Linked DNA regions of Stegostoma tigrinum. The protein of the gene in region 1 interacts with the protein of each later gene in a pairwise test. Links are inferred from orthologs where the notes say so. Each region holds a gene or a part of one and is shown on either strand. Other genes may lie near its edges.

What was found.
Region 2: the proteins of nuclear receptor-interacting protein 1-like (region 1) and calcium and integrin-binding protein 1-like interact in a two-hybrid assay, tested with the Homo sapiens proteins (2 studies listed by BioGRID and IntAct). The link is inferred for Stegostoma tigrinum from reciprocal best matches to the Homo sapiens genes NRIP1 and CIB1.

Annotation. Positions count from the first base shown.
Region 1 is NC_081365.1:8,051,256-8,067,144, reverse strand, and holds the start of nuclear receptor-interacting protein 1-like, read left to right. Parts: upstream 1-8,771; 5' UTR 8,772-8,808; intron 8,809-8,816; exon of another isoform or gene 8,817-9,058; intron 9,059-9,390; exon of another isoform or gene 9,391-9,485; 5' UTR 9,486-9,563; intron 9,564-9,810; exon of another isoform or gene 9,811-9,871; intron 9,872-13,643; exon of another isoform or gene 13,644-13,773; intron 13,774-15,087; exon of another isoform or gene 15,088-15,151; intron 15,152-15,889. UniProt on the Homo sapiens protein: Modulates transcriptional activation by steroid receptors such as NR3C1, NR3C2 and ESR1. Also modulates transcriptional repression by nuclear hormone receptors.
Region 2 is NC_081389.1:22,355,601-22,371,145, reverse strand, and holds the start of calcium and integrin-binding protein 1-like, read right to left. Parts: upstream 6,772-15,545; 5' UTR 6,691-6,771; intron 6,685-6,690; exon of another isoform or gene 6,432-6,684; intron 1-6,431. Other genes in the region: gdpgp1 (GDP-D-glucose phosphorylase 1), read right to left, coding at 11,692-12,849; tubulin polyglutamylase ttll6-like, read left to right, coding at 13,272-13,319. UniProt on the Homo sapiens protein: Calcium-binding protein that plays a role in the regulation of numerous cellular processes, such as cell differentiation, cell division, cell proliferation, cell migration, thrombosis, angiogenesis, cardiac hypertrophy and apoptosis.

The DNA.
Region 1 (15,889 bases):
TGTGGTCCCAACACTGACCCTTGCGAAACACCACTTCTCACCAGCTGCCGCCCTGTGAAAGACCCTTTTATCCCCACTCCCTGTTTTCTGCCAGATCGCCAATCTTCTGTGCATGTTAGCACCTTGCCTCTAACACCAAGGGCCCTTGTCTTATTTAGCAGGCTCCTGTTCGGCACCTTGTCAAAGGCCTTCTTGAAGTCTAGGTAGATAACATCCATTGGTTCTCCTTGGTCTGATTTGCTCATTACATTCTCAAAGAATTCTAGCAGATTTGTCAGGCATGTTTCCTCCTTGATGAAGCCATGCTGACTTTGCCCTATTTTTCAATATACTTCAAGAGTTCAGAAATCTCATCCAAAACAATGGACTCCACAATTTTACCAACGACCAAGGTCAGGCTAATTGGCCTGTAATTTCTCATTTTTTCCTTATTCCTTTCTTAAATGTGGGGGGGGGTCTTATGTTATTGATTTTCCAGTCCTCTGGGACCCTCCCTGACTCCAATGATTTCTGAAAGATGAGCATGAACAAGTCCACAACCTCTTCAGCCCTCTCCTTCAGAACTCTGGGGGATTGTCCATCTGGTCCTGGTAATTTGTCCACCTTCAGGCCATTCAGCTTTTCTAGCACCTTCTCCTTGGTGATGGCCAACTTACTCACCTCTGCCCCCCAAATCTTTTGAATTTTTGGCATATCTCTACTAAGGTCCGTAACCATTTCAAAATGGCTGCAGATCCTCCAATCATCCGTATAGGCCTTTGGATTGTCTACAGCTACAAGGTGCAGTTATATAGCACCTTTGATGCGGTAAACATATCTACATGCTTCATGTACATTATCAAATGAAATATATCACTGAGCCACATTAGGAAGTATTAAGGTGACTGGAGCGTTTTAGCTTTTAAAGAGCATTTTAACTGTAGAGCGAAGCTTGCAGAATGGTTTAGGGAGAGAGTTCCAGAGTTTTTAGATTAGATTACCTACAATGTAGAAACAGGCCCTTCGGCCCAACAAGTCCACACTGCCCCCTGAAGCATCCCACCCAGACCCATCCCCCTATAACCCACATACCCCTGAACACTATGGGCAATTTAGCATGGCCGGTCCACCTAACCTGCACATCTTTGGGCTGTGGGAGGAAACTGGAGCACCCAGAGGAAACCCACACAGACACAGGGAGAATGTGCAAACTCCACACAGACAGTTGCCCGAGGCTGGAATCGAACCCGGGTCCCTGGCTGCAGTGCTAACCACATAGCTGCTGTGGTGTGGCAACTGAAACTGAGGCATCTCAAGAAACAAGAATTTAAGGATGCAGAGATCATGGAAAAGTAAGGGACTGGGGGAGGAGGTGCGGGAGTGGGGAGCATGAAATATTTTGGAGTGATTTTGCAAGAGGACAAGAATGTTTAAATTGTGGCTTTCTGGCTTTCATCTCACAAGCATTGGGTCCTGACAACTGTTACAGTCTCAGCAAGAAGCAACTGCAAAGTTTCACAAAAGGGAAACAATGGTGTATTGGAGTTATTACCAGACCATTAATGTTCCAGGTAATGTTCCAGGTTTGAATCCCACCATGGCAGATGATGGAGTTTGAATTCAATTTTTAAGATAAGCCAGAATTAAGAGTCTAACGATGACCATAAAACCATTGTCAATTGTTGGAAAACCCCATTTGGTTCATTACTGTCCTTCAGGGATGGAAACTGCTGGCCTTACTTAGTCTGGTCTACGTGAGATGCAATAGGTACAATGTTCTTGAAGCTGTGTGGACAAGACTGCATGGACCTAAGATTGGTGTGGATGCAATAGGTTTCGGTGTGTGAGGTACTGGCACAGGAAGGGGTCTTTGGTGCGATGGGCTGGGACCAATGACCTTTCAAATCTAATACAAAAGTCTTTAAAGACGGCTTTAAACTAATTAATGAGTTTGAGAGACGGGATACGTGGGCTCACAAAGTAAGAGAATATGATAGCATTACACAGCAGCTATTTGGATACTGACACCCAGAGAGAGATTGAAAGGCACAGAGTTTACAAATATCGAAAAACCACAGCAAATAGGGTCACAAGGGGTAAAATGGTAAGAAATGTCAAAATTAATCGCTCTCTATTTGGGTGCATGCAGTATTTGGAACAAAATCAGTGAATTAATAGTACAAACACAGGTTAATGGATATGGTATCATAGCCATGATGGATACTTGGTTGCAAGGTGATCAAAGCAAGGAACTAAATAATCAGGTGTTTGTGAGAGTCAGAAAGGAAGGGCTGGTGAGGTTGCTTTGTTGGTAGGGATGGAATAAGTATAATAAGTAGCAAGAAATAATCATGGATTTGAAGTTATAGGTTGAGTTAGGAGATAAAAAGGGAAAGAAGATGCTAGTAGGAGTAATCTATAGGGCCCCTAACAGTAGCTAAATGGTGAGGCAGAGACTAAATGAGGACATAATGGGAACGAGCTATATTCCAGTGAGGAAGAAGATCTCGAGGAAGGGGATTAACCATGCATGGCTTAAGCAGGGAAGTTAAGGACACTATTGAACTGAAATAGAAAGGATATAATGCTGCTGAGATTCATGGTAAGTCAGAGGATTTGAGAACGTTTTATACATCAATAGAAGATGACAAAAAATAATAAAGAGGGAAGAAATAAACTTTGGGGTAAACTTGGAAGTAATATCAAGATGGAGAGAAAGAGCTTCTTTAAATATGTAAAAGGGAAGAGAGAAGCCAGACAAGAGAAAACAACAACAGAGAACCAGGAAATGGTAGGAATTGAATAAAATACTTTGCATTCATAGTCAAAGATACTAATAGCAGTCCAAAATTACCAAAAATCAAGGAACAAAATGAAATAAGTACAATAACTATCACTATCAAAAAGATGTATGGGGGAAATTACTGAAGCTAAAGACTGATAAAGTCACTCATTTATCTGATGGGATCTGATGGGGTGCACGCTGGGAGTTTAGAGGAAGTAGTCACAGGCATTGTGGATGCATTGTTTGTAATCTTGCAAGAATCCTTAGGTTCTGGTGAAGTCCCATGAGATTGGAAAACTGCCAATGTAACAATTTTATTTAAAAAGGGAGGGGACTAAAGAAAGGTAACTATAGGCCAGTTAGCTTAACATCAATTATGGGGAAAATGTTAGTGTCTATTAGAAAGAATATAATAGCAGAGCATTTAGAAAAATATGATGTGATCAAGTAGAATCAGCATGGCTTCATGAAGGGAACATCATGTCTGATAAATTTACTGGAAAGTTTTGAGAAAGTAACAAGCAAGATAGATAAAAGGGAAACAATAGACATGATATATTTGCATTTTCAGAAAGCAACTAGTGTTGGGGAGAGTACATTAGCATGAACAGGGGTTTGGTTAATTTACAGAGAACAGAGAGCTGGGATGAGGGGATCATCTTCAGGATGGCAACCTCTACCTAGTGGAGTGCCAGTAGGATCAGTATTGGAGTCACAGTTATTTACATTCTTCATTAATGACTTGGATGAGGAAAATAAACATACTGTAGCCGAGCGTGCAGATGAGAAGAATAGGTAGGAAGGCAAGTGGTGAGGGTGATATAAAGCGTCTGCAGAGGGATAGAAACAGGCAAAGAGAAAATGCAAAAATTTGGCAGATGGAATATCCAGAATGCCCTCATCCGTGTTGGTTATCACATCCCCCAATACCCCTAGCTACTGCATTGCATGGGTACGCCCTGCACAGCCAACACAATTTCATCTATTCACCATACCTAATATTTGTTGCTCTCTTACTTATTATCAGTTATATCATTGTTTGCCAATCTCTTTTTACTTTCTCTGCATTTCTCTGAGCTCTGCTTTCATGTACTCTACTCAACACCCACACCCCACCCTGTCATTAGCATAAATACCCTCTTTCCCAGCTGTATTCAGTTATGATGAAGGGTCACTGGACTTGAAATATTAACTCTGTGTTCTCTCCACAGTTGCTGCCAGAATTACTGTGTTACGGCTGCAGTCACTGTTTTTGTATGAGGTTATGACTCTACCACTCCAAGACCATAAGATGTAAGAGCAGAAGTAGGCCATTCAACTCAACGATAAGAGATAATGGGAACTGCAGATGCTGGAGAATCTGGAAGCTGGATGAACACAGCAGGCCCAACAGCATCTCAGGAGCACAAAAGCTGATAATTCAGGCCTAGTCCCCTCATCAGAGAAGGAGGAGGGGGAGAGAGTTCTGAAATAAATAGGGAGAGAGGAGGAGGCAAATTGCGGATGGATAGAGGAGAAGATAGTTGGAGAGGAGACAGACAAGTTAAAGGGGCGGGGATGGAGCCAGTAAAGGTGAGTGTAGGTGGGGAGGTAGGGAGGGGATAGGTCAGTCCAGGGAGAAGGGATAGGTCAAGGGGGCGGGATGAGGTTCGTAGTGAGGAGATGGGGGTGCGGCTTGAGGTGGGAGGAGGGGATAGGTGAGAGGAAGAACAGGTTAGGGAGGCGGGGATGAGCTGGGCTGGTTTTATCAATGTGGATTTCACAAGCTTCAAAATGGGCCTCCCCCCACTGCATCCCAAAATACAATAATATACAATAAATGATATACAATAACCCAGCCTCAATAGAAAATTCCACAGATTCAAAACCCCTGAGAGATGGACAGAATTTTAATCAATAAGGGAAAGAAAAGTTATGGAGAAAAGGCAGGAAAATTGAATTGTGGATTAATCGACCAGCCATGAGCTTATTGGATGACAGAATAGGCTTATTGGGCTGAATGGCCTCCTTCTGCTCTTGCATCTTATGTTCTAAACTTTCCTTTACAGATAACAGTCTAAGTACCTCTTGAAAAGCTTGATTGAACCTGCCTCCACCACACTTTCATTACCAGTGCATTCCAGACCCTAATTACTTGTTAAGTGAAACTCTTTTAGTCTCAGTTCACTTTTACTTCTTTTGCCAAATGCCTTAAGTCTGTGGCCTCTCGATCTTTTCATGAGTGGGAATAGTGTGTCATTATCTGCAGGGAGAGGAAACAACAGCTTTCCAGATCCAGGTCACATTTTGGATTTTTATATATTCATTCTTGGATGCGGATGTTATTGGCGGGGCCAACATTTATCTCCTTCCAAAGGGTCACTAATATTTACAATTCTCCTTCCAGGAGGCTGAGTCATTGAATACATTCAAGACAGAGATTAGATCAACAAAAGAGTCAACACATATGAGCAGCAGGCAAGAAAGGAGTGTTGAGACCAATCAGGTTAGCAATGATGCAATTGAATAGTACAGGAGGCTTGACGGGCTGAATGGCCTCCTCCTGGCCTTATTTTTGATGCTCACATGCCCTTGATCTGAGTGCCTTGCTCAGTCTGTACCAAGGTCAGTTGCAAGTCAGCTACATTGCTGTGGGTCTGGAGTCACAAGTAGCCTAGACCAGGTAAGGATGGCAGATTTCCTTCTCTAAAGGACATTAGTGAACCAGATGGAGTTTTTGAAACAATAATTTGGCAGATTCATGATCAGTCGAAATCACCTTAGAATTTTATTGATGATGAATTTATGAATTCCATTGAAATGCCTCCAGCTGCCAGGTGGCATTTGAATGCTTGTCTCCTGGGTATTAGTGCAGGTGCCTGGATTCTGAAGCAGATTCAGGTCTGCCAGTTCTGAAGGGTCACAGGACCTGAAACGTTAACTCTGCTTTCTGTCTCCATTGATGCTGCCAGACTGGCTGAGTTTCTCCAGCAATTTCTGGTTTTGTCGCAGACTTCCACTGTTCACAGTTCATTATTTGACAATAAATCTGGGTTATTGGTGTTAGCTCACACCACCACCAGCCACTCTCCCTCCCAAGTGCCTCACACCACCTCTTCTTTTGCTCAACGTTGAGTTAACTGTGGTGTTTGATTGAAGGAAAGTGTGATAGCAACATCTGACAGAAAATGTTATATTTTTGATGGGCAACCATTGTTGAAATGGTCAAAACATGGCGCGACTTTGCATGAAGCAAGGTCTCACAAGCAATAAGGTGGGAAAGGCCCAATTTTCTGGCTGGAACGATATGATTTGAGGATAAATGCCAGGCCACCTAGGGGCTTCTCCTTTGACGAAGTGGCCTATGAAAGTTTTTAGAATCCACCTAAGGAATCAATCAGGTCCTCAATTTAAATGTTTACCCGAATGCAGGCACTTCCAACATTGCAGGATGGCCCTTAGGCTGCAGCCCATGTCTTAGGAGTGGGTCTCAAACCTATAACCATCTAGCACAGAGCTGAGCGTGTCACAAAAGGCCACTGCAAATTTTTGTAGACGTTGGATGGCACAGTGGCTGAGGTTAGCAGTGCTGCCTTACAGTGCTAGAGGCCTGGGTTCAATCCTAGCCTCAGGCAACTATCTGTATGGAGCCCAAGCTTGTGCAGTTTAGGTGGATTGGCTTTGCCATAGTGCCCAGGAATGAGTGAGTTAAGTAGATTAGCCAAGGGCAATAGGGTAGGGGGTGTGCGTCTGGGTGGGATGCTCTTTGGAGAGTCAGTGTGGACTTGTTTGGCCAAATGGCCTATCCCACACTGTAGGGGCTAAACTAAATACAAAATGCTGGAGAGTTTAAACATGAACTGTTAAGCGCAAGTGAAACTTGGCAGGTCTGGCAATGTCTGTGGAGAGAGAAACAAAGTTCGCATTTTGCCTCTAGCGTAACTTCTTCCGAGGAGAGGGATTTTGAAACATTAACTATGTCTCTCTCATCAAACGTGCTGTCAGCCTTTTAATGGAGTAGATGTGGTAATGTCACTGGGCTAGTGATCTCAGCACCTACATATTGGTTCAAATTCCAGATAGTGGAATTGAAATTTAGTCGGAATCTGCAATATCAGAAGCTCGTCTAATTATGACCATGTAACTTCTGTTGAATTGTTGATTTAAAACAAATCTGATCCACCAATACCCTTTAGAAAAGGAAATCTGTTATTCTAATCTGGTCTGACCTGCTTGTGATTCCGTGGGGTTGATTCTTCACTGCACTTAGGATAATAAATACTGGCCTAATCAATAACTCCCATGAATGAAAGTAAAAGCACATTAACTGTGAAAACAACACACAATTTATAAAACATGCAGTTTCAGGCAATTTTCTCCAAGTCATAACAGCAGAAACAAAATTCTACCAATTTTCAGAACTAAAGTACCGCAGCTGTTGAAAACCTGAAATGTAAACAGCAAGTACTGGAGAAACTCAGCATGTCTGGCAACATCAGTGGAGAGAAAAACAGAGTTTAAGTTTTGTAATGTAACCCCTTTTCCCTTTGTAAATTAAGTTTTATCACTGTTAATTACTGGACCTGAAACACTAACTCTGCGTTCTCTCCACAGATGCTGCCAGGCCAACTGCATTTCTCCAGCAGTTCCTGTCTTTGTTTTTTATTCCCAGCACCTGCATTGGATTTTTCAGCGGGTTTATTTTAACAATTGACAATAGTTACATCGTCTCTCCTAGACTAGTTTCTCTTTGTCCCAGACCTATCAGTAAAACTGCAAGATTACGAACTGGGGTTGTAGCCTTGGAGATGCTGCCTGATCCATTGTGTTTCCAGAAGGTTCTGTTGGTACTTCTCCTTATTTGCCCTGTTTAATGTTGTTTTGCACAGTTTCACTTGCACAGACCGTAATCTTATTGCTGTTGGAAAAGCTCAGCAGGTCTGGCAGCATCTGTGAAGGAGAAAACAGAGTTGACGTTTCCGGTCTGGTGACCCTTCCTCATAACCCTTCCTCAGGTGACTGGACCCCGAAACGTTAACTCTGTTTTCACCTCCACAGATGCTGCCAGACCTGCTGAGCTTTTCCAGCAACTTTGTTTTTGTTCCTGATTTACAGCATCCACAGTTGTTTTGGTTTTTATCTTATTGCTGTTTGTGGGAGCTTGCTGTGCGTCTAAATGGTTCCCTATGTGACAAACAGGGTAACACAAAAGCAACATACCCGCATCTTGCCATGAAGAGGCTTTTGAAAGTCCTGAGGTCATAGAATTTTACAGTACACAAAGAGGCCATTCAACCCATTGAGTGAGTACAGGCTCCCAAAAGATCTACCCAGCTAATCCCATTCTCCAGCTTTGTTGCTGTAGCCCTCTAAATTCGTCACTTTCAGATATATATCCAGCTCCTTTTTGAAACCTCCCATGGAATCGACCTCCACCACTCTCCCGGTTAGCACATTCCAAATCCCAACAACTCTCTGAGTAAAGAAGTTTCTCCTCATCTCTCTCCTAGCTGTCTTGCTGACAATCTTGAAATTGTGACCCCTAGTTACTGATCTACCAACTAGTGAAAACAGGTTATCCCCCTTTACCCTGTCAAAATTGTTCATAATTTTGAAAACCTCAATAAGGTCACCTCTCTGCACCAAGGAGGATAAGCTCAATCTCTCTACTCTTTATGAAAACAAGAATTGGAGTGGGTTAGGCAGTATCCGTGGAAAGAAAACAAGCTCCTTTGTTATTGGCTTTCAGCTCAGCACTCAGCATCTGCAATAATTTGCTCCTTCTCTAATCTTCCCTTTGATTCCAAAATTACTCATTCCAGTAAGTCTCCATTCCACTCTCTCCGGGGCTTCAACATCCTTCCTTCAGTAAAACGCCGGGAATTAAACACTCCGGCGTGTGGCCGCGACAGGCGCTATGCAAACGCAAATGCTTCCTGGCGCTGGAAACTGGAGAGGGCGAAGGGAGAAACACAAAGGGTCGTAAGAAAGACGAATTAAGGGGGTGGGGGGAGAAGTCAGAGAGAAGGGACCGGGGTGGTGTGTGAGCAGGACGAAAAATGTTGGTGAGAGAATATGCTGGCGAGGGTTTGCAATGTCAGCGGAGCTATGAGGTTGAGTAAATACTGTAAGCTCTACGCTCTGTGGGGCAGTCTGAATCCCAGAGTTTGCTCGTGTTGAGTGGTGGAGCTTTTAGCCTGTACTGTGTCGTGTGTGTGTGTGTGTGTGTTTTTCTAGATGTCTTCAATTGGGAGGTGCCGAGGCATTAGGTCGGCCTGGACTGCCTCATTCTCTGTTATAGCTTGACCGGAGAAGGTTTGTGTTTTGTGGGTGAGAGACAGAACCTCTTCAGAATTATTATTTGCCCCAATCTTCCAGCATTAATTTCACTCTTGATCATCATTAAGCCTTTGCTTTGATCTGTCCCCCTGCGTTTTTTTTCTTTCATTTTTAACACAAAATGTTGGATCGCGGGGCGCTCCAGGAGATACATTTTGCAACCCACGTTACTTTGTATTCCTGAAGCCGGCCTTTGAATCCAGTGTCTGTCGGTGGTGAGGTGCGGAGTGGGGAGGGGGGGGGGGGGGGTGTTAGTGGGAAGGGTTGTTTGTGAGGGTGTGGGGAGGGGGTCTTGGGACGGCGGGCGGTGGAGGGGAAGGATTGGTCGCTGATCCTGAATTAAACAAGGCAACAGCAACAACAAGCTGAGACATTTCCTTTGTAACCATTTGCAAAAAAAAAGAAAACTGCAGCGTTTCCTGATTTCTGGCTGGGATTCCCGGAGGTGCTGTGTAACCAAATAAAAAAAGGGGGAGATCAGGTAAGAGGACCAATCATTTATTTAAAACGTATTCTGGATCTGTTTGTATGTCATTTATTTTTTGAGGAAAAAAAAGACGCAGAGGATGGGTTGGATCGCGGGCCAAGTTAATTTCCGACTGGTGAAATTGACTTGGACTGCTGTTCTCACTTTCCCCAATCCCAGGGTATTTCTGTTTGGCGATCTCCAGTGCTGTCTGTACATTTCCGCCTCCTTCTTCATGCAAACCCTCCATCCGCAGAGAGGCCGTCAATACAAAGCATCTACCTTCATCACAATTAACCCACTGACATTTGGAGGGGAAATCAGTGAGCCTTTGTTGATTTGGAACCACTTATCATGCGCTTGTTTTTTTTTAAAAAAGCATTGTGTTGTTCAAGAATTAATATCGCTATTCTTTAGCCGGTTTGTGTTGTGTATGTGTGTGTCTCTGTGTATTTATATACCACATTTTGATATTTGGGCCTCTCAGCATTGTTTTTTCCAGCCTTTGACTTGTACTGACTGGGAGTTGCTAGCGTTTCGGTTATATCTTTTTTTTTAAACAATAAAGAATTTATTAATGCCCATTTTGAAAGAGCTGGTGTTAGCAATTTGTAAACTGGACTGTTTCGAACCGACTGCTCTGAAGTTGTTTCAATGTGGTCAGTGGTCAATGCACAGAGTCTACAGGGCGAATCATTTGAATTATATTAGCCACAAGCTATTGATTCAGTGTGTGGTTAATTTAATGTTTATATATCTATATAAAATCTGTATTTAATGGCCTTCAGTTGCTGAGATTTTGGTTTCTGTATATTCTCCTCTGACCCCCACTCACTTTCTATTCTGTTTTATCCCATTCCCAGTAACACTGAACCCTCTCCCTCCAGCCCCCTGTCCTTGAAAGGATTCTCTTCCACCCAATTCTGAGAGGTACCTATTGTGATTCCTGACCATTGTCAGCCTGTGGTTCAGTGCACTGTGGATGGCACCATTACGTCCTCATGTCCTCAGTGGAAGAGCTCCCCCCCCTCCCCGGACACCTTTCTTTTCCTTCTTGACTGTTCAAAGGCTTTCTCAAGTCAACATCCACTTGCATTCGTATGGTGCCTTAAGCCTCGTAAAATGCTGCAAGGCATTTCGAAGGAGACTGTCGAGGCAGGCACGTGCTTGGACACTGAAGCGATGGCACATCGCAGGATGCCAGGGGTGAGGACCGAAAGCTCGGTCAAGGATATAGATGTGTTGAACAAGGACGGGGAGAAACGTGGTGAGGCTCAGGAGGCAATTTCCACAGCTTGTGCACCATACCACCAAAAACACAGCCACCAAGCAAGTGTGAGGTGCCCAAGAGGCCAGAATAGCAAGTAGGCAGATTTCCCGAAGAATCACAGAAGTAGGAGAAGAGCAAGGCCAGGGAGGATTTGAAGATGAGGATGAGAACATTCAGATTAAGGTGTTGCTGAGAAGTGTTTTCTTATTAACTTTGGATGTAACTGTGGATTAGTCTTCTCATTTGTTTTGGCTGTGCGTGGTGTCTTTAAGGTTGACTTCGTGCCTCTGTAATCAATTGGGTCGCTGTAAACTTGACCATGTGTGTATGTGTGCACGTGCACATGCATACACACACACACACACACACACACACACACACACACAGAGTGTTACTGGAGTATGATCAAGAACAGGAAACTCCGCCAACTCTGAATCTGACTATAGTCCCAGTTAAGGTGAGCTAGTATGCTAAATACATAGAACTTAATTTTAAATTTTGAATTTCCCTGCTGTATATGGGTCCTTTAGTCTTCTGAAATATTGGAGTAATGTTTATTATCCCTACAGTATTTGCACTGCACAAAGTATTGTCACGATGAAACAGAAAGGATCCTTTTTATTTCATCACGCATGTTGCTGACAGGACAGGTATTTGTTACCCATCCCGAGGTTCCAAGGGAATGTGTTGTTAAGTTGACCTCATGAAGATTTAATGACACCAAGTATCTTGTCAGAAAACAAGACGGAGCTGTAGAGAATTATCAGGTGTGTCCAGAGCCACATTTAGGCCTGGCCCTTGTGAGATTGACCGTGTAAGTGAACATGAATATGGTCTTAATACAAACTTGACAGCTCCATGGTTGTTTTACTAGTGCTAGTTTGTTATTTTCAGATTTCTTTTAAAAAGAAGTCAATTTAGTTACAATGATGAGAGTGAGTTTGCTATCTCTGGGTGAAATTTAATTTTGTTCTCTCTGGACTATTAGTCTGACAACAAAACTATTGTACTGTGTGTATGTTAAGCTGTGTATTGTGCTCAGTATCTTTGTGGTGAGTGATTTATTTTGCACAGTAACTGAAGTTCCTTTACTCATTCCCAAAATAAGAGCATCGCTGAATAGGCAGCATTTATTGCCCATCCCTAATTGCCCAGAGGGCAGTTAAGAGCCACCCACATTGCTGTGGGTCTGGAGTCACATGTAGGCTAGACCAGGTAAGGATGGCAGTCTCAGGATTAATAGGCCATCAATAATACCAGTTAGTCATTGCCTTCCCCCATGTTTAATGTAGCTGTGGTGGCCCTATATGGCTGTCTGTCGAGAATGTTCTGGAACTGGTCTTGCTGCCCCTGGACTAGAAAAGGGGGAAAACTCCATCAGGTTTCCTGCTACCTAGCGCTGCATGCTAGGAAGTTGACCAGAGATGGGGTTGGTTGCTGTAATTATGCTTCCCAGTTCATTGCCTCCCTGCAGTCTGTGACCACTGGGGGCAAGTATCTACAGGGCATCATTAGACCATGGGTCCTGTCCCTACCTCTTGGCCAGAAGCTTTGGGTTTTCTCCCTTTGAGGAATAAGGAAGATGCACTCATAACACTGCCCAATCGGTTGAGCGGCATCCTGCGAATCCCCCCGGCATATACCAATGGCAGGCTGCCTTCGAGTCCTATAGTACAGAAACAGATCCTTCGGTCCAACTAGTCCATACCGCCCTTAATCCCAAACTAAACTAGTCCCACCTGCCTGCGCTTGGCCCATATCCCCCCAAACCTTGCCTCAGGATGGGATACATTGCTGGATAGCCATGTGATGGAGTCAAAAAAAATGATGGAGACTCTGTCATCAGTGTCCATAGCTCCAGCCCACATCATTTATGTACAAGTGTCGTAGCAACTGTAAATCTTTAGGGGTGGGAGGAAGTGACGGTGCAGTTATAACACAGTGTGGAGCTGGGGGAGCACAGCAGGTCAGACAGCATCAGAAGAACAGGAAAGTTGATGTTTTCGGTTGGGACACCACCTCTGAGTTAGTTATAACCCGACTGCGATGCCTAACTTTCCTGCTCCTCAGATGCTGCCTGGCCTGCTGTGTTCCTCCAGCTCCACACTGTGTTAGCTCTGACTCCAGCATCTGCAGTTCTTACTGTGTCTAATGGTGCAGTTAGCTGGCTGGCTGCTATGGATCTGATTGATGCCAACCCAATTGGATTCACTCCCTATCCTGGGTTTGGGAATTTTGAAACTGACTCTCTTGGAATGAAGGGAACAATAAGGGAGGTATTTAAGCAGAATTTCAGGATTTCTGGAAACACTTCAGAGCATGTGTTTGAAGTGCAGAGACTGTGCTGCAGTGTAGGAAATATGGCTGTGTGCACAGCAGGCTCCCACGAACAGCAATGATGAGATTATCTTATTTCAGTGTAGATTGATGTATAAGTGATGACTTACCCCAGCTCCTCTTTAAGATTTTGCCAGAGGACCATCTAACCCCTAGTCATGGGCCAGATAAGGTTTAAAATCAACACAGCACACAGCATCTCTGGCAGAACAGCGCTCTGTCTGGGCTGCAAGGCAGAGTCAGGTCTTCCTGTGGGACTCAAAGCCACAACCCCGTGTGAGTCCAAGTTGGAAAATGTCCTCGAAATAAAACCCGAATAAACTGCTGATGCTGTAAATAAGAAACAAAAACAGAAACTACTAGAAAAGCTCGACCTGTCGAGCAGAACTGAGGAAGGGTCAGTCGACCCGAAAAGTCAGCTCTGATTTCTCTCTTTCGATGCCGTCAGACCTGATGAGCTTTCATAGCAATTTTGGTTTTTGTTATAGGAAGTGCCCTGGCCCTTGAGCCATTGCTGAAATCACGAAGAATGGACCGGAGTCCACAGGATTGATCACGATTTGGGTGTTACAAGTGAAATGAAAGGAGTTACGACACTTGCAAAACAAAGTGTTTGGCAAGTGTATTTACTTTCTTTCCCTGTTATATTGATATTAGCATGGACTCTGCTCCTCTGCACTTTCCTCTTGTATGCTTTCTGAGCTTTTGTGTACAGCATCCCTCTTGATCCCTGCCTGGACCAGCACCAGTCACACCATCAACTCCTCTGTCTCGGTCTATCCTTGCCCTTTAGATCTTTGGGACTCCTCATCTTCCCTCTTACTTACAATCCAAGGATCACATAACGTGTTGTTGAGATGTCTGGAATGACTGTGTCATCTGTTGAGGATAAGTTAGACACCCTGGTCTTGTTTCCATGGGGGTTTAGAAATGAGAGAGGTGATTTGATTGAAGTGGACAAAATTCTGAGCAGTCTTGACAAAGTAGACAAGGTGAAAGGTATGTTTTCTTTTGTGGGTCACTCCAGAACTAAGGGGACAGCCTTTGAGAAGAGAGATGAAAAGAAAGGACTGTAAGAAAATGGGTAATCTGCCATGGGTGTCTAAGGAAATAAGGGAGTCTATCAAATTGAAGGAGAAGACATACACAGTGGCCAAAAACAGCATGAAACCAGAAGATTGGGAAAACTTTAAAGGTCAACAGAAAGCCACAAAAGGAGCTATAAAAAAAAGCGAGATGGAACATGAGAAAAAACTAGCACAGAATATGAAGACAGATAGCAAAAGTTTCTATAAATATATAAAATGAAAAAGAGTGGCCAAAGTAAACGTTGGCTCTTTAGAGGATGAGAAGGGGAATTTAGTTGTGGGATATGATGAAATGGCCGAGGTATTTTGTATCGGTCTTCACAGTGGAGGACACTAATGACATGCCAGTAATTGACAAAGAAACAAAGGTAGGTCAGGACCCAGAAACAATCATTATTACGGAAGAGGTAGTGTTGGGCAAGCTAATGGAGCTAAGGGTTGATAAGTCTCCTGGCCCTGATGGAATGCATCCCAGGGTAATAAAAGAGATGGCGGGAGAAATAGGTGCACTGGCGGTAATTTTCCAAAATTCGCCAGTGCGCCTGCTGCAGTCCCAGCAGATTGGAAAACAGCAAATGTGCCGCCACTGTTTATAAAGGGAGGTAGACAAAAGATAGGGAACTATAGACCGGTTAGCTTAACCTGTGCAGTGGGAAGGATGCTTGAATCTATTATCAAGGAAGAAATAGCAAGGCATCTAGATAGAAATTGTCCCATTGGGCAGACACAGCATGGGCTCATGAAGGGCAGATCATGCTTGACAAATCCTTTGAAATTCTATGCAGACATTACGAGCAACGTGGACAATGGGGACCCAGTGGATGCGGTGTACCTAGATTTCCAAAAGGCCTTCGACAAGGAGCCACACAAGAGGCTGCTGCATAAGATAAGGATGCATGGTGTTAGAGGTAAAGTATTAGCATGGATAGAGGATTGGTTGACTAACAGGAAGCAAAGAGTGGGCATAAATGAGGGCTATTCTGGCTGGCAATCAGTGACTAGTGGTGTGCCTCAGGGATCTGTGTTGGGACCACAGTTATTCACAATTTATGCAGATGATTTGGAGTTGGCGACCACGTGTAAGGTGTCAAAGTTTGCAGATGACACTAAGATGAGTGGCAGAGCAATGTGTGCAGAGGACTGTGAAACTTTGCAGAGGAACATAGATACATTGAATGAGTAGGCAAAGGTCTGGTAGATGGAATACAGTGTAAATAAATGTGAAGTCCTACATTTTGGGCGGAGTAATAGTAAAAAGGATTATTACTTGAATGGTAAAAAGTTGCAGCATGCTGCTATGCAGAGGGACCTGGGCGTCCTTGTGCATGAATCACAGAGGTTGGTCTGCAGGTACAACAATTAGGAAAGCAAATGGAATTTTATCCTTCAATGCTAAAGGATTGAGTTTAAAAGAGGTTATGTTGCAGCTGTACGAGGTGCTGGTGAGGCCACACCTGGAGTACTGTGTGCAGTTTTGGCCTCCTTACTTGAGGAAGGATGTACTGGCACTGGAGGGGGTGCAGAGGAGGTTCACTAGGTTGATTCCGGAGTTGAGGGCATTTGCTTATGAGGAGAGACTGAGTAGATTGGGATTATATTCATTGGAATTCCGAAGATTGAGAGGGGATCTTAGAGAAACATATAAA
Region 2 (15,545 bases), on another chromosome or scaffold:
CCAAATATTAGATTCACTCAAGGGTATGTGTTCCGCTGATAACCAAACACAACGTACTCCCAAATGTTAAACCACAGAAGAGGAAATCTTTTGAAATTAAAACATATAATGGTAATGTCATTGAATTAATAAGCACTTTGGGGATGTGTATTCAAATTCCAGAATTGAAAACTAGTCTCCAATACAGTGACCAAGAATGACCATTAATTATGGTAAAGAAAATTCATCTCATTCACTAATATCCTTCAGGGAAGGAAATCTACCATCCCTACCCAGTCTGGCCTACATGTGACTCTAGATCTCCAGTAAACATGGTTGACTCTTGGGTAACAAGGTGTAGAGCTGGATGAACACAGCAGGCCAAGCTGCATCAAAGGAGCAGGAAAGCTGACGTTTCGGGCCGGGACCCTTCTTCAGAAATGGGGGAGAGGAAGGGGGTTCTGAAATAAATAGGGAGGGGGGGAGGCAGATAGAAGGTGGATAAAGGAGAAGATAGGTGGAGAGGAGACAGACAAGTCAAAGAGGTGGGAATGGAACCAGTAAAGGTGAGTGTAGGTAGGGAGGGGATCAGTCAGTCCAGGGAGGACAGACAGGTCAAGGAGGCGGGATGAGGTTAGTGGGTAGGATTTGAGAGTGGCGCTTGAGGTAAGAGGACAGGTTAGGGAGGCAGGGACAAGCTGGGCTGGTTTTGGGATGTGGTCGAGGGCGGGGAGATTTTGAAGCTTGTGAAGTCCACACTGGTACCCTTGGGCTGCAGGGTTCCCAAGCAAAATATGAGATGCTGTTCCTGCAGCTTTTGGGTGGCATCGTTGTGGCACGGCAGGAGGCCCTGGTCGTCCAAGGAGTGGGAGGGGGAGTTGGAATGGTGGAGTTGTTTGTTGCCAACGAAGTGTAGGTGTTCCACAAAGCGATCCCCAAGCCTCTGCTTGGAATTGACTCTTAACTGTTTTTTTCTGAAAAGGACTATCAAGTCATTCAGTTCAAGAGAATATTGGCTTTGTGAGAGACGCCCACATTCCAAAAAACTTCTTAAAACAGAACTTTTAAAAATTCTGTTCAGAAGGGTTCACCTTCAAGAAAGACAATTGCTACCTTTGAATTTAAAGAAATGTAATAATGGACTCATGCAGAAACCAGTAAAAATCTCCACCTTGACCATATGCATTACTTTTAACTCAATTCCTGGCATGAACCTTTTGCCATCGTTTAAACAATTTTATCAATCCTGATTTGTCTCTCAGACCGCAATTCTCACCCCTTTTCGTAGCATCTTAAATTGTTCCTCATTGCTGGGCCCGCTGCAAACACGGTTTACAGAGACAGTTATTTCCATATCAGCTTTCTGTTTGTTCCAGATCTCACTGCAGCAGCAAGGAATGTATTAATCGCTCTTTCCTTTCCTACTCCTGCAGCTGTGTTGTGCCTTTAATGACTGTTCGCTACTTTCACCCGTTACATGTTATAGGACTGATCCAGCCATTACCATTCATCTTGTTTTGGTTTTCAATCTGCCCTGCTTACATTCCAACTGGAAAACCTCAAATAAACTAACTATAATTGATCATGTCCTGCTTCGATTGGTTTGACTCCTATACTCAGAGGCCTTCCCGTCACTTCCATTAATGTCATTTATATGGGCACAAACCTCTAGACTGACCATTCTTTGCAGTACTGAGGGGTTGCATCTTTGGATAGGTTAATCTCGTCCACTTTCTCAGGCAGATATATAAGATTCCACAGTATTAGTTTGAAGATGGAGATGAGAGTTCTCCCTAGTGTCCTAGGCAAAATTTATTCCCCTAATCTTAGAATCCCTACAATGTGGAAGCAGCTATTCGACCCATCAAGTCCACACAAACCCTCTGAACAGTATCCCACCTAGACCCACCCCTCTACTCTACCCTTGTAACCCTGTATTTTCCATGGCAAACCCATCTAGCCTTCAGGTGCTTGGTCAATTTAGCATGGCCAATCCAACTAACCTGCACATCTTTGGACTGTGGGTGGAAACTGAAGCACCCGGAGAAAACCCACGCAGGCACGGGGTGAACGTCTGTGTGAAGTTTGCATAATTGCACGAGGGTGGAATTGAACCTGGGTCCCTGGCACTGTGAGGCAGCAGTGCTAACCACTGAGCCACAGTGCCACCCAATCAACATCACACAAATAAATGATCTGATAATGACCAGATTGCTGTTTGTGGGAGCTTGCTGTGTCCACTTTGGCTGCTCTGTTTCCTACACTATGACTCTTTGAAAAGCACTTCCTGTCATCATGAAAGGCACTACAGAAACCCAATCCGTCTTTGCTTGTCTTGACCGATTATGGCCCACGCACTTGATTCCAAATACATTACAAGGATTTGCTGGACTGCCAAGCCTCTGTATAACTGAGCTGTGAGCTCCTGGCACCAAACTCTCACCAGAATTAAACTGAGTTTATTCATTTTGAACTACCATTAAAATTATAGAATGAAAGCTCTCACCAGTCCTTGGTTGTAAATTCAGTCTAAAATTCCCATCAGTACTGACTTATGAATCTGGTAACCTTCCTCCTTTAAAAGCTCACACTTTTTCCATTTCACTAATGATGAAATGCAAGCAGCTATTTATTAATGCTGCATACATGAAGATGATGCAGACTTTCTCTGCACTGTGGAAGCCTTGTAAAAGAATAAACAAACAAATGTTGACCTGCTCTCAGTTCTGCTTAGTGTCTCTCTATGCAAATTATAGCTGCTTATTGAACACTGGGGATGAAATCTCAGCAGTCATCCACTTAACTCTTGCAAAATTCTCTTGATCACTAACAAGATCTACGACGCTTGGGAACAAAGTCAATAAAATAATTTTACTAAACTATCACTAACCACATTCAAATCCGAAGTCTCTATCAGTGTTTCATCATGCATCGGGCTTCCTGGGTGACTAGTTCAGCAAAACCAGAATGGAGATCATAGTATCTATGACAATGATTTCATTTTCAACTCCTATATTTCCTTTGCACTAATGCCATTGGCAAGAAGTTATAATATTAATACTGAGTCTGAGTTATAAATCCTATTCCCTGAAAGACTCAGGTTAAGAAAAAAGAACATAAGAAAAATGTACAAGTTAGGAGTTGACCACTCAGCCCCTTTAACCATTCAATAAGATCATGGCTTATCTGATTATCCACGTATCTACTTAGCCCCTGATTCATTCTGTGATTTCTTGCGAATCTATCCATCTCTGTCTTACAAGTATCAAAAAGATTCTGATTCGGCAACTTCTGTGGAAGGGTATTCATTAGAGTCATGGCCCTCAGAGGAAGAAAGAGTGCCTCATCTCCAACTCCGATATGTATTTTTAAACAGTAATTTAAAGTTCTGGATTCTCCCATTAGAGGCACCCATTCTATATGCACACTGTTAAGACCCCTATATAAAGGGATCTTATATGTTTCAATCAAGGTGCCTCTTACTCTTCTAATCTCCAATGGATACACGCCCAGCATGACCAAACTTCCCTTGTAAGACACCTGCCCATTCCAGATATTAGTCTAGATCGGTAGGAAGGTATATTGTGAAAACATAAGGAAGTTGCAGGTGGATATAGATAGGTTGAGTGAATGTGTAAAAACCTTGACAGGTCGGGAAAGAAGTTGCTCACTATTTTACTCTTCTGCCAAAAGCAGAACACTATTTAAGCAGAGAATGCTGAACTGAGAGATGCAGAGAGATTTAGGTGTTTTGGTGCATGAGTCACAAAAGGGTAGTGGCAGATACAACATGTAATCAAGAAGGCAATTAGCTTTGTGTTCCCTAATATAAGTGGAACTGAATGTAAAAATAAGGACATTACGCTTTAGTTATATAGGACATTGGTGAGAATATTGGTTCTTGAATATTGGTTGCACTTTTGTCTCCTTATTTAAGGATGTAAATGTGTTAGAGGAGATTTACAAGATTGATAACTGAAATGAGTGGGTTTTCTCATGAGGAAGGGTTGGACAGGCTGGGCTTGTTCCCGTTGGAGTTTAGTAGAGTGAGGAGTGACTTGGTCAAATGACTGAATGGTCTTGACAAGGTGGGCATGGAAAGAATTTTCTTGTGTGCATCAGTCCAGAACTTGAGAACCCCGTTTTAAAATTAGGGGTCGCCATTTCAGGACAGAAGCGAGAATTACCTTCTCAGCATCTCCGCTGTGTAGACCTTTGACGATAACATCCCTCAGTAATTCTGACAAGGCCCAATCTTTCAAAGGCAAACTGTTTCTTCCCAAGGATTAGCCTTGTGAATGCTCTCTGGACGACATCTAGCATTAAGTATTAGAATGTGTCTCATCAGACAAAATTTTCTCTGTTCACAGATTCCCTCATTGGTATTGGGGAGAGGGAAGACAGAGAGGAAGAGACTTGGAGAGAGGGAGTAATTGGAGAAGAAAGAGAGAAAGGGAAGGATTTGGGTGGAATCAGAGAGAGAGAGAGAGAGAGAGAGAGAGAGAGAGAAAGGATTTGGGTGGGGGGGGTAGAAGAATGGTTTAGGGAGAAATTGAGAAACAGAGAAAGTCTGCTCTCTTTCAAAGAAAATACACAATCTTTCTTGACAAAGTACACATAAGAAATTATTGTGCAAGATTAAAGTGCATGGGATTGGGAGAAGAGAAATTGAGGTGGACAGAAAACTGGTTGGCAGAGAAGAAACAAAGATTCGGAATTGATGGGTCCTTTTCAATTTGGTTGGCAGTAACTATTGGAGTGCCACAAGGATCAATGCTGAGACCCCAGCTATTCACAATAAATATTAATGATTTGGATGAGGAAACAAAATGTAACATTTCAATATTTTCGGATGATACCAGGTTGGGTGGGAGGATGAAATGGAAAAGGATGCCGAGATCCTTCAGCATGATCTGGGCAGCTTGGGTGAATCGGCAAATCAATGGCAGATGCAGGATAATTTGGATAAATATGTGGTTATGCACTTTGGAAGCAAAAACAAGAAGGCAGCTTACTACCCGACTGGTTGTAAACTGGGAGAGGGGAGTGTGCAGCGGGACCTGGGTGAAACCAACACCATTTCAAGCCCACTGACTCCCACAGCTACCTAGAATACACCTCCTCCCACCCACCTTCCTGCAAAAATTCCATCCCCTACTCCCAGTTCCTCCGCCTCCACCACATCTGCACCCAGGATGAGGCATTCCACTCCTGTACATCCCAGATGTGGTCATCCTTCAAGGACCGCAACTACCCACCCTGTCCCACAATGGTCGAGAACGCCCTCGACCATGTCTCCCACATTTCCCGCAACTCATCCCTCACACCCGCTCCCCGCAATGACCGCCAAAAGACAATCCCCCTAGTCCTCACATACCACCCCACCAACCTCCGAACACAACGCATCATCCTCCGACACTTCCACCAACTGCAATCCGACCCCACCACCAAAGACATTTTTCCATCCCCACCCTTGTCTGCCTTCTGGAGAGACCAAGTTTTTCTGAAGCGTCTAGACCTGAAACATCAGCCTTCCTGCTCCTCTGATGCTGCTTGGCCTGCTGTGTTCACCCAGCTCTGCACCTTGTTATCTCAGATTCTCCAGCGTCTGCAGTTCCTACTATCGCTGTAGGTAAGCATGCAGGTGCAGCAGGTGATAAGGAAGGCCTTCATTGCGAGAGGTTTTGAGTACTTGTTGTGGTCTCCTTCTCTGAGGAAGGATGCTCTTGCTCTCGAGGGAGTGCAGGGAAGGTTTACCAGCTGAGTCCAGGAATGGCAGGTCTGATGTAGCAGGAGAGAGTGTCAAGGTTAGGGTTGTTTTCGCTGGAGTTCAGACAAACGAGCAGGGGGCTTTCGTAGAGGCTTATAAAATTCTAACAAGTCTAGACAGGGTAGATGCAGAATGTCCCGGATGCCGGGTGTGTCCAAAACCAGGGATCACAGTGCGAGGTTTCAGGGTAGGCCACTTAAGATGGAAATGAGGAGACATTTCTTCACCCAAAGAGTGGAGAGTCTGTGGAATTCATTATCACAGGAAGTAGTTGATGTCAAAACATTATCTGTATTCAAGAGGCGACTAGATATAGCACTTAGGGTGAATGGGATCAAAAGTTGTTGGGAGAAAGCAGGATTAGGCTATTGAGTTGGACCATCAGCCATGATCGTGGTAAATGGCGGAGCAGGCTCGAAGGGCAGAATGGCCTCCCCCTATGTGTCAAATCCCTCCGGGGTGGTTCAGGTAGGAAATGCAGAGTTGGGCAGGGGGGGGCAGGGGGAGCAGGAGAAGCTGGCGCCGAGCAGACGGGGATGCAGCCACCGAGTTTCTCTATGGGTCTCTCAGCGAAATCTTCTCTACCTCACCCCCCCCCAAAAAAAAAGTCTCTCTCCTCCCCCAGCCCCAGACACCCAAAACAAACTTTACAGGAATATCAAAGCACTAAATAAATAGTTACTTTTAAAAACTCTGCTCCGTCACTCGTCCCTGACTTGCCCCGCTCTGTCTTGAGGCAGCTGCTTTGCCCGGAATCCCCGGGGTTAGCTGCTCGGTTCCCTCCAGCGCCGCGCCGCGTCGCTCCGATCGGCTCCGGGGAAGCCGGAGGGAGCCGGGGAGCAGTGGCTCGGGCGGGGCTCGCCAGAGAACGAGAAGCACCCAAACGGAAAACAAAACCTTCGACACTTCGACAGCAGAAAGAGTTCAAAAAGTTTACAGACCTGAGAACAACAAGTTAACGCGGAAGTTGGGGACAAACTGCAGAAAGGGGCTCCGCAGAGCCGCCTGCTGTTGTAGTTACACAAGGACAGAGTTAGGCCATTCGGCCCATCGAATCTGCTCCTGTTTGACGCGTTTCTCAATCCGGCCAGGCAACGATCAAAACCTGATGTGAAAAGTTACATATTTCAACAGGAACAAAAGAAAAATTAAAGTGGCGCCGTTTAGAGGGAAACAACGCGATCAGGGGGCTATTTAAATGCTCGGGCCCGAGTTACTGCAGCTAGAATTGGAAATTCTGACAATTTTTAACGGGAGAGAGCTAAGGCAGACAAGCCTTCAGAGATTGATAAATTCTTGATCTCACAAGGAATCAAGGGCTACGGGGAGAGTGTAGGGAAGTGAAGTAGAAATGCCCATCAGGCATGATTAAATGGCGGAGTGGACTCGATGGGTCGAATGGCCTTACTTCCACTCCTATGTCTTATGGTCTAAGCCAAAATTGGCCTAAACCTGACTATTTGTGTACAGGAAATTCAGAACCTGTGCAACATTTTGAATATATAAACGCATGTTGAGATGAAAAGTATATAATGCACATATTTTGCGAATTTTAAAATAGATGCAGATGATACAGGTCAGTTCTGTGAAGTTTTTCTTAAATAAAATGGGTCAGAAAGTGCTTTCTAAACAGTGACCTAAATGCATCAATTCTAAGAAAGCATTTCAGTGCAGTCAACCCCTGCACAACATCTCTACTTCTTCAGGCGGCTCAGGAAATTTGTCATGTCCATAAGGTCCCTCACCAACTCCTACAGGTGCCCCATTGAAAGCAAACTGTCCAGGTGTATAACAGGCTGGTACGGCAACTGCTCTACCCAGGGCTGTAAGAAACTACAGAAGGTGGTGTGCACTGTCCAGACCATCACGGAAGCCAATCTTCCATCCATGGACTCCATTTACATGGCTCACTTCCATGGAAAGACTGCCAACATCATCAAAGACCTATCGTGGCCTGGTAATGATCTCCTACAACCTCTTCTGTCAGGCAGAAGATACAGGAGATTGAACACACGCACCAGCATGTTCAGTGACAGCTTCTTCCTGTCTGTTATTTGACTGATGAACAGACTCTCTAGCGTCAAATAACACTGATGTTGCTAATGTTGATCTGGCCTTGCACATACCCTGTGCAATGTAACCTGTATGCCTCTAAATCTTTTTACAACCTTTGATCTGTACATCCTTGCTATGATCTCCCTGTACTGCTCGTAAACAAAGCTTTTCACTGTATTTAGGTACATGTGACAATCAATCAATCAATAATGCATGGAATATTTGTATTACTGAGTTACAACAGACCAGAAACCAATTAGTTTAGTATCAAAATAAAATTGATGGATAAACGCAGCAGGTCTAGCAGCATCTGAAGAGAGAATGTAGATTTAATGTTCTGAAGATGAGTGACTGGACTAGGGTGTTAACTCTGCTTTCTGTCCACAGACACTCTGTCTATGCCTGCCAAGTTTCTCTTGCAATTTGTTTTAATTTAGTATTGACATCAGAACAGAAGTTCAAGGTTTCAATTTGGAAACATCAAAGTTCAATTCAGAAGGGAAAACAGTTTCTCCTGGAAAAAGCAATCAAGCTTTCATTTTACAAGAGCTGAAAATGTTTCAGTTGTGCAGCTTCAAAGCCACAAGGGTTTGAGTAAAAATCTTCAAGTTGTTAGAACTGAACATGTACAGGCTGTCAGAATTGAGGAAGGTTCATGCCAGTAGATTCAGAAAGTAGTCACAAAGTTGTCTCTGCAGTCCAGGGAAAAGACACTGGGAAGAGTCCGTAATGTAAAAATATAAAGAGCTAAAAAGAAAATTCTCTGGAATTGAGCATCTTTAAAAGGATACTGGTGGAAAATAATTTGTAACTTTGTTTTGTTGATGGTGTTAAATCTTTTGTGTAATAAACTGATGGTCAGCTACGAAAGAACATCTGCAGCCTCATGTGAATACATTTAAGTGCCTAAGTACCACAGTGACCAATGCAATAAACTGAAAGGATTTTCAGCCACATTATAGTCTGGCATCTGACTTGTCCAGTATTGCCACCTGATGGGACCATAACAATACATAAATCGAGATGTAAGCAACAGCATTCACCGAAGCACTGAACAAGGGTGGGAGTACGAGAGTGAGATGAGCTGTAAAGAAATCATCAATAAAAGGGGTAAACCATATGCATTAAGTCTCAGTCAATTCCATGATGATGCCACGAGGGGCAACAGAGGCCTTGGCCGAGGGCAGGATAAAAGCGATCTGTTCGGCTGCCTAAACAGGGTGCTGCATGTTACTTGGATAGGTTTCACCGTACAGTTAACTAGCAGCACTTGGTAAGCAGACCATCACACTGATAGCTGTATTCAGTTACCGCCAACTATAATTCTTTACCTGATCCATGGTCTTGTAATTTTCCTCCTGTTATTGAATATATATGATTCACTTGTTTTTATAAATGATATTTAATAAGATATTGCAATGAAGTAGAGGCACCAATTCATGCAAGTTATTTTATATACATAGAAGTGCAATTAGACATATCCAGTTCAACCTATTCCATACATTTTGATTTAACATGTTTCAAGTCTTAATCCAGTTTCACTTTAAAGTTTTTGTAGACACCTTGCCCTTTTTGGATTACAGTTTAAATCAAAATTCTGTCTGTTCTTTCTGCAGTCACTACTGGAACAAGAGAAGTTCACCCGAGGAACCATGACAGTATTTAATACTCAAACATCACAAACACACATGATCCAGCTGTTTCTGGGCACTTTGTGTGCAAATAAGCAGCTGTGCTTCTATCATTATAACAATGCCCACACATTTCAAAAGTATTCAAATTGGCTGTAAAATACTTTACAATATCCTAATATGGTAGAAGGCTCCATTGAAATGTCAGTCTTTCTTTAAAGGCCCCACTTGTGTAATGTATCCCATATTTGAACGCCTTCACCTGGGAATTTTTATTCTAATCATCCATCATTGCTGTGTCCACATTACATGAACTTTATCTAACAAACACCAAACAGAAATTGCTGATTTAATGAAATATACAGTTGCTCAGTCCCTTTTATAAAAGGAAGGAGGCTGACATAGAGCTCCCCGAGCTCTCCAGAAGTTAGGAAGAATGATTAATTGCTTCTGAAAACAGTGGTCAATTCTTCAGCTTGCACATCATAATTTCACAGAGGCAGTGTAAGTTCCAAAACGTTTTCGTCGTCATCTTCAATCAATATTTCTTTGAAATGTCAGTACTTGTGGCCGTCAATACCACTGGAGCCATTTACCCAAACTCATTTAACTGCCTATTCTTTTCAACACTCATGTACTTTTCCAATGTTGATGTCTCTTTGGAAAAGCAGAGTTCTCCAAATCCAAATGTTTCTCAATAGTGAAATAGGTTTTGAGTCTGACAAAGGTGTTACACAGGGAGCAGACTGATCATGGCCTCAAATACAGAATTCCATTCCTTGCCCTCTGAAGATATCAATTTATAATGGGATTCATTTCCCAGTTTCTGACTGTGCTTCATTGACCACTCAAGCTGGAGTTTCAAGTGTATCACAAGGCTGCTCATCAATGGGAGAGTAGTGTCATTGCTGTGCTGAGCTCAGCTAGCTGTCATAGGGTGTCCGCATGCATGTCTTTGCCAAAAGAAATCACCACACAGATCAAAACCCCCTAACAGCAAGCTTCTGTCTTGGTAAACATTTAAGAAAGTGGCACATTCCATTCCTGAACTCAAGTATAATACATATAAATTAAAGATAAACGTAAGTTGTGCACATGTGAACATCCAGCATCAGTTTTGCTATTTAGCTTACCAGCACAAAGGAATTGTAATGAGTACTTAAGAAATCAAAAAGGAATACTGGATTCTGTGATGGTCAACAGGGCATTGGTGAGACCACATCTACAACACTGTGTAGATAAAGTACTCTTTATTTAAGAAAGGATATCAATACACAAGCAGTTCAGAAAAGTTCACAAGTCTTTTCTGACTTGAAGCAACTTACGACGTCAATTTGGACCCATATCCGTTGGGGTTATGAAGAATGAGCAGCATCTTGCGAGTAGCAAGGAATTGGTCATTTCAGACTCTCAAGTTTTACCGAAACACACAAACGTCTCAAGGGGACTTGAGATGGTGAATGTTGTGAGGAAGTTTCCCCCTTAAAGGAAAGACCAGGGAATGCAGTTTAAAGATTAGAGGTCTCTCATTCAAGTCATGGATCAGGAGAACTTTTTTTTTCAATTATGGGTTCATGGAAATCTCTTGCCACAGAGTGGTGGAGGTATGGAGCAATTTAATATTTTAAATAAAATGTGTTGGAAATATCTGTAGAAGGGAAAGAGTTCACTTTCAAGCCTGATATGATTTTATATGCTCTTTGGGGGCAGGTGGAAGGGCAAGTGGAACAGATGGGAAAGCTGCCACAAAACAAAGGCAAAGAGAGTGTTAATGGTAGTAGAGAATACATACAGACGAGAACAGGTGAAATGATGGGGGTTAATAGCAGCAGCTGGATTAGCTCTGCTTTTACTGCATTGATGCAGAAATGTACTTATTCCTGGAGGGTGGATATCTTGTGCACAGACAATTAACAGTTAACCACATCGTGTGGATCGAGAGTCAAGTGGAGGCTAGATGAGGCAAGGACGGCTGAGATTCCTTCCCTAAAGGATAAGTGTGAATCAAGTGGGGTTTTAAAACAATTAACAATGGTTGTCTGGTTGTTATCAGTCTATTCTATTTCTTTCAGAATTTTTAAATTGAATGTAAATTTGCTTAAGTGGAATTCGCTTCCATGTCCCCAGAACATCAGGTCTCTGGAATACTAGAGGCAGACACAATACGACTGTGACAAAGAGAGAAATTTGGCAAATGGCAGTTGAGGCTTTAACCACATCTTTGGGGTTAGGAGCAGATTTCAGGGGTTGAATGGCCTATTGCTCCTCTTGGTGATTATCCTGGAGGAGTTGGGTTATCTCTAAGAGGAGCTGGGAGTATTCCTTCTCGGGTAGTGCGTGTCTGCGGACCATTCCCAGCGCCTCCTCCTCGGTCAGGCTGCTGTACTCCTGCGGGGTTTTGAGGGGCCAGTGGCCAGCTAGTTCACACAGAGCCACGGTGAAGGCCGTAGGATCCTTGGCCCCGAAACAGCTGCGGCGTGGCCAGAGGATGATCCGGGCGCCGTCATGCTCCAAAGAGGAGGAGGTTTGGCCAGGTGGCGGAGTGCCGAGCGGGCATCCCCGGGTCAGAAAGAGGTTGTGGGCCAGGGAACGGCGGATGAAGAGGCCGGTCAGGGCATGGAGAGTGAGGGCAGCCCGGGCCAGGCCTCCATCACCGCAGTCTGTGTAGAGGACCAAGCCGCCGGCCGGGTGCTCGGACAGCAGATGGACAGGGAGAAAACGGGCCGAGGCTGGGGCCCCGGGCTCCAGTAGAGGACGGGTGGTTGCCCACTCTATCTCCAGGCGCTGGTCCAGGTAGTAGCCGTGCAGGTGGAGATGGTTGACAGAGGCCTCGGCGCCCAGGCTGTTGAAGCCGACGCGGAAGCTGGGATCCGAGCTCAGGAAGAGAAGCTCCAGAGCCCTCAGCACTGAGCCCTGGGTGAGGATCTGCGGCAGGCGACGGGCCGGTTCAGGCAGAAGCAGGACGTGACCCCACTCCAAGGGGCTGACATTGATGACCAACAAGGCCTCGGCCTCATCCCCAGCCTCTCCAAGATCCCGCTTCCGGAGGCGGAACAGCACCTCCCGGGCCGGGATGCGGGTGAAGTTGAACCGCTGCGGATCGAAGGGCTGCCGGACGCTGAGGATCTCCTGCGGTGGCCGCCGCTCACGGGCCCGCTCGGGGTTGAGCTGCGCTACCAGGCCCCGGGGCCCCGGCAGGACGCGGGTGGGGGGTCCCCGGCGCGGCAGGCGGTAACGGAAGCAGCCGCTGGACAACCGCTCCTCCCAGGCCGACAGCAGAGCCGCGTCGAAGCGGGAGCCCGAGCCACCCCGTTGGACCCCGTTCCAGATCAGGTCTTCCTCGGAGTAAATAAAGACCGGGGCCTGGTCCCAAGGCAGGCCCAGGCCTCCGTCCGGCTTCGTGGGCGCTGCCATCTTGCTCTGACGTCACGGGTACCATCTGTTACCATGGTTTCCAGTGGCGGTACACTGTCAAAAGTTAGAAGGGGAAGCAATCGAAATAAAAATCCTTCCAAAATCACAGAAACACCTCGTGGTTCGAAATCTGAAATAAAATTAGAATTTAAAAAAACAGTCAACGAGGATCATGCCTCGCCCATCGCGGAAGAGCCAATTAGAAATAAAGATTATAGCAGCCAATCGAATCACGCGATCACCAACCAAACTGTGCGCCGGAGCTCTGCTCCGAACCAATAGGAGGAGGGCTGACTGTTAACAGCCAATAATAGGGAAGCCTCTGCCACTGGCGACCAATCGCCATCGCGGAGGTCGGGTGGCCAATAACAAGGTGTGTGCCCTGGACCAATCGGAGGTGGCGTCTAGTTGCCAGGGCGACAATGGGGCCAGAGCCGAGTCCGCGGCCTGGACTGGCAGGCGAGCGCCAGGTGAGTGACTGACAGTGGGAGAAAGAAGGGGCCCTTTCAACTACCAGCCGCTTCCCATCGCCATCACTGCTACCACCGGCCCATTGGGAGGCCCGGGCTTTCAGATCCGGCCATCGCCCTCACCTCCCGCTTCGAACCCATAGCAACGGGGTAGCGGGGGTGGGGGGCGACTTAGCAACGGCCTGGTCCGGACCTGATCGGGCCTGTGCTGACCTGACCGGCCCGGCCCACGCATTGAACTGAGTCATTTAGACTTGAAACGTTAGCTTGCTCTCTCGCTCAATGGATGCTGCCTTGACCCAACAGCGATCCTCAGCATATTTACGTTTTCAGTCTGAAAAACAGCGAGCCGCAGGTTGAGACAAGAGGCTCTGGCCAACATCTCTGTGCAGGCTTCCTGCGCTGCTCCGGTACAAGCTGGAAAAACTGAGCCTCGTTATCCGCCGGGGGCCTGCAGCTCGCTGGGTCCAATATTGAGTTAAATAATTTTAGATCCTGACCACCTCCGCCTCCTACAATCTGACCCCACAACCAAAGAGATATTTCCCTCCCCACCCCTGTCTGCCTTCCCTAGGCACTGCTCTCTCCACAGCTCCCTCATCCGCTCCACATTCCGCACTAACCCTACCACCCCCCAGGACCTTTCCCTGCAACTGCAGGAAGTGCCACCTCCCCCCACCACCCACCCTCATCCCAGGCCCCAGGAAGACTTCCCACATCAAGCAGAGGTTCACCTGCACATCCGTCAATGTGGCATATTGTATTCAGTGTTCCCAGTGTAACCTCCTCTACATTGGGGAAACCAAGTCGGAGCTTGGGGACCGCTTTGTGAAACACCTCCACTCGGTTTGCAATAAACAACTGCACCTCCCAGTCACAAACCATTTCAACAACCCCCCCCCCCCACTTCCTTAGACGACATGTCCATCACGGCCTCCTGCAGTGCCACAACGATGCCATCCGAAGGTTGCAGGAACAGCACCCCATATTTTCCTTGGGAACCCTGCAGCCCAATGGTATTAATGCAGACTTCACAAGCTGCAAAATCTCCCTTCCTCCTACCACATCCCTAAAACCAGCCCAGCTTGTCCACACCTGCCTAACCTGTCCTTCCTCCTGCCTGTATCCTACTCCCACCTCAAGCCCCACCCCCATCTCCTATCTACTAGCCTCATCTCACCCCCTTGACCTGTCCATCCTCGCTGGACTGACCTATCCCCTCCCTAACTCCTCACCTACACTCACCTTTACTGGCTGTCTCCTCTCCACCTATCTTCTCCTGTATCCGCCTCCCTGTCTCTCCCTACTTATTTCAGAACCCCCTTCCCCTCCCCCATTTCTGAAGAAGGGTATAGACCTGAAACGTCAGCTTTCCTGCTCCTCTGATGCTGCTTGGCCTGCTGTGTTCATCCAGCTCTACACCTTGTTATCTCAGATTCTCCAGCATCTGCAGGTCCTACTATCTCTTCCATATTGAGCATGGGTTCACCTGCACATCTGTCAACTTGTTCAACTGTAACAGCTGCTCCCAATGTGGCCTCCTGTACATCGGTGAGACCAAGCGTGGACTGGGAGACCATTTTGTAGAGCACGTGTGCTCTGTATGCGAAAAATGACAACACCTTCTGGTTGCCAATCATTTTAACTCCCTGGGCAGCATGTCCATCCTGGGCCTCCTCCAGTGTCACAATGATGCCACCCGCAAACTGGAGGAGCAGCGCTTCATATTCTGCCTCGGGAGCCTACAGCTCAATGGCCTAAACATGGAATTCACCAGTTTTAACATCGCCTCACCCATGTCCAACCCTCCCTCTCATCCCGGCCTCCTTGACCTGACACAACCTGTCCACCTTCTCTCCCATCTATCCATCCCTCCCATCCCACTGACCAATCTCCACTACTCCTTACCTGCACTCACCTATCACTATCTCGCCTACCTTCCCCAGTCCTACCCCTCCTCTATTTATTTATGAGCTCCCTTCCCCCTCCCCATTTCTGAAGAAGAGTCCTGATCCGAAACCTCTACTTTCCTGCTCCTCTGCTGCTGCCTGGGCTGCTGTATTCTTCCAGCTCCATACTGTGTTAACACCTCTTCCCATGTCTTTTACTCACTCCCGCACCCTTGGCCCTGTCATCTCATGGGTTGCTTTCATCACAGCTAACCCATTTTCACCCACTAATGGTCCATTAATAATTTTTCTACCTGAGGAAGGGTCACTTGACCCA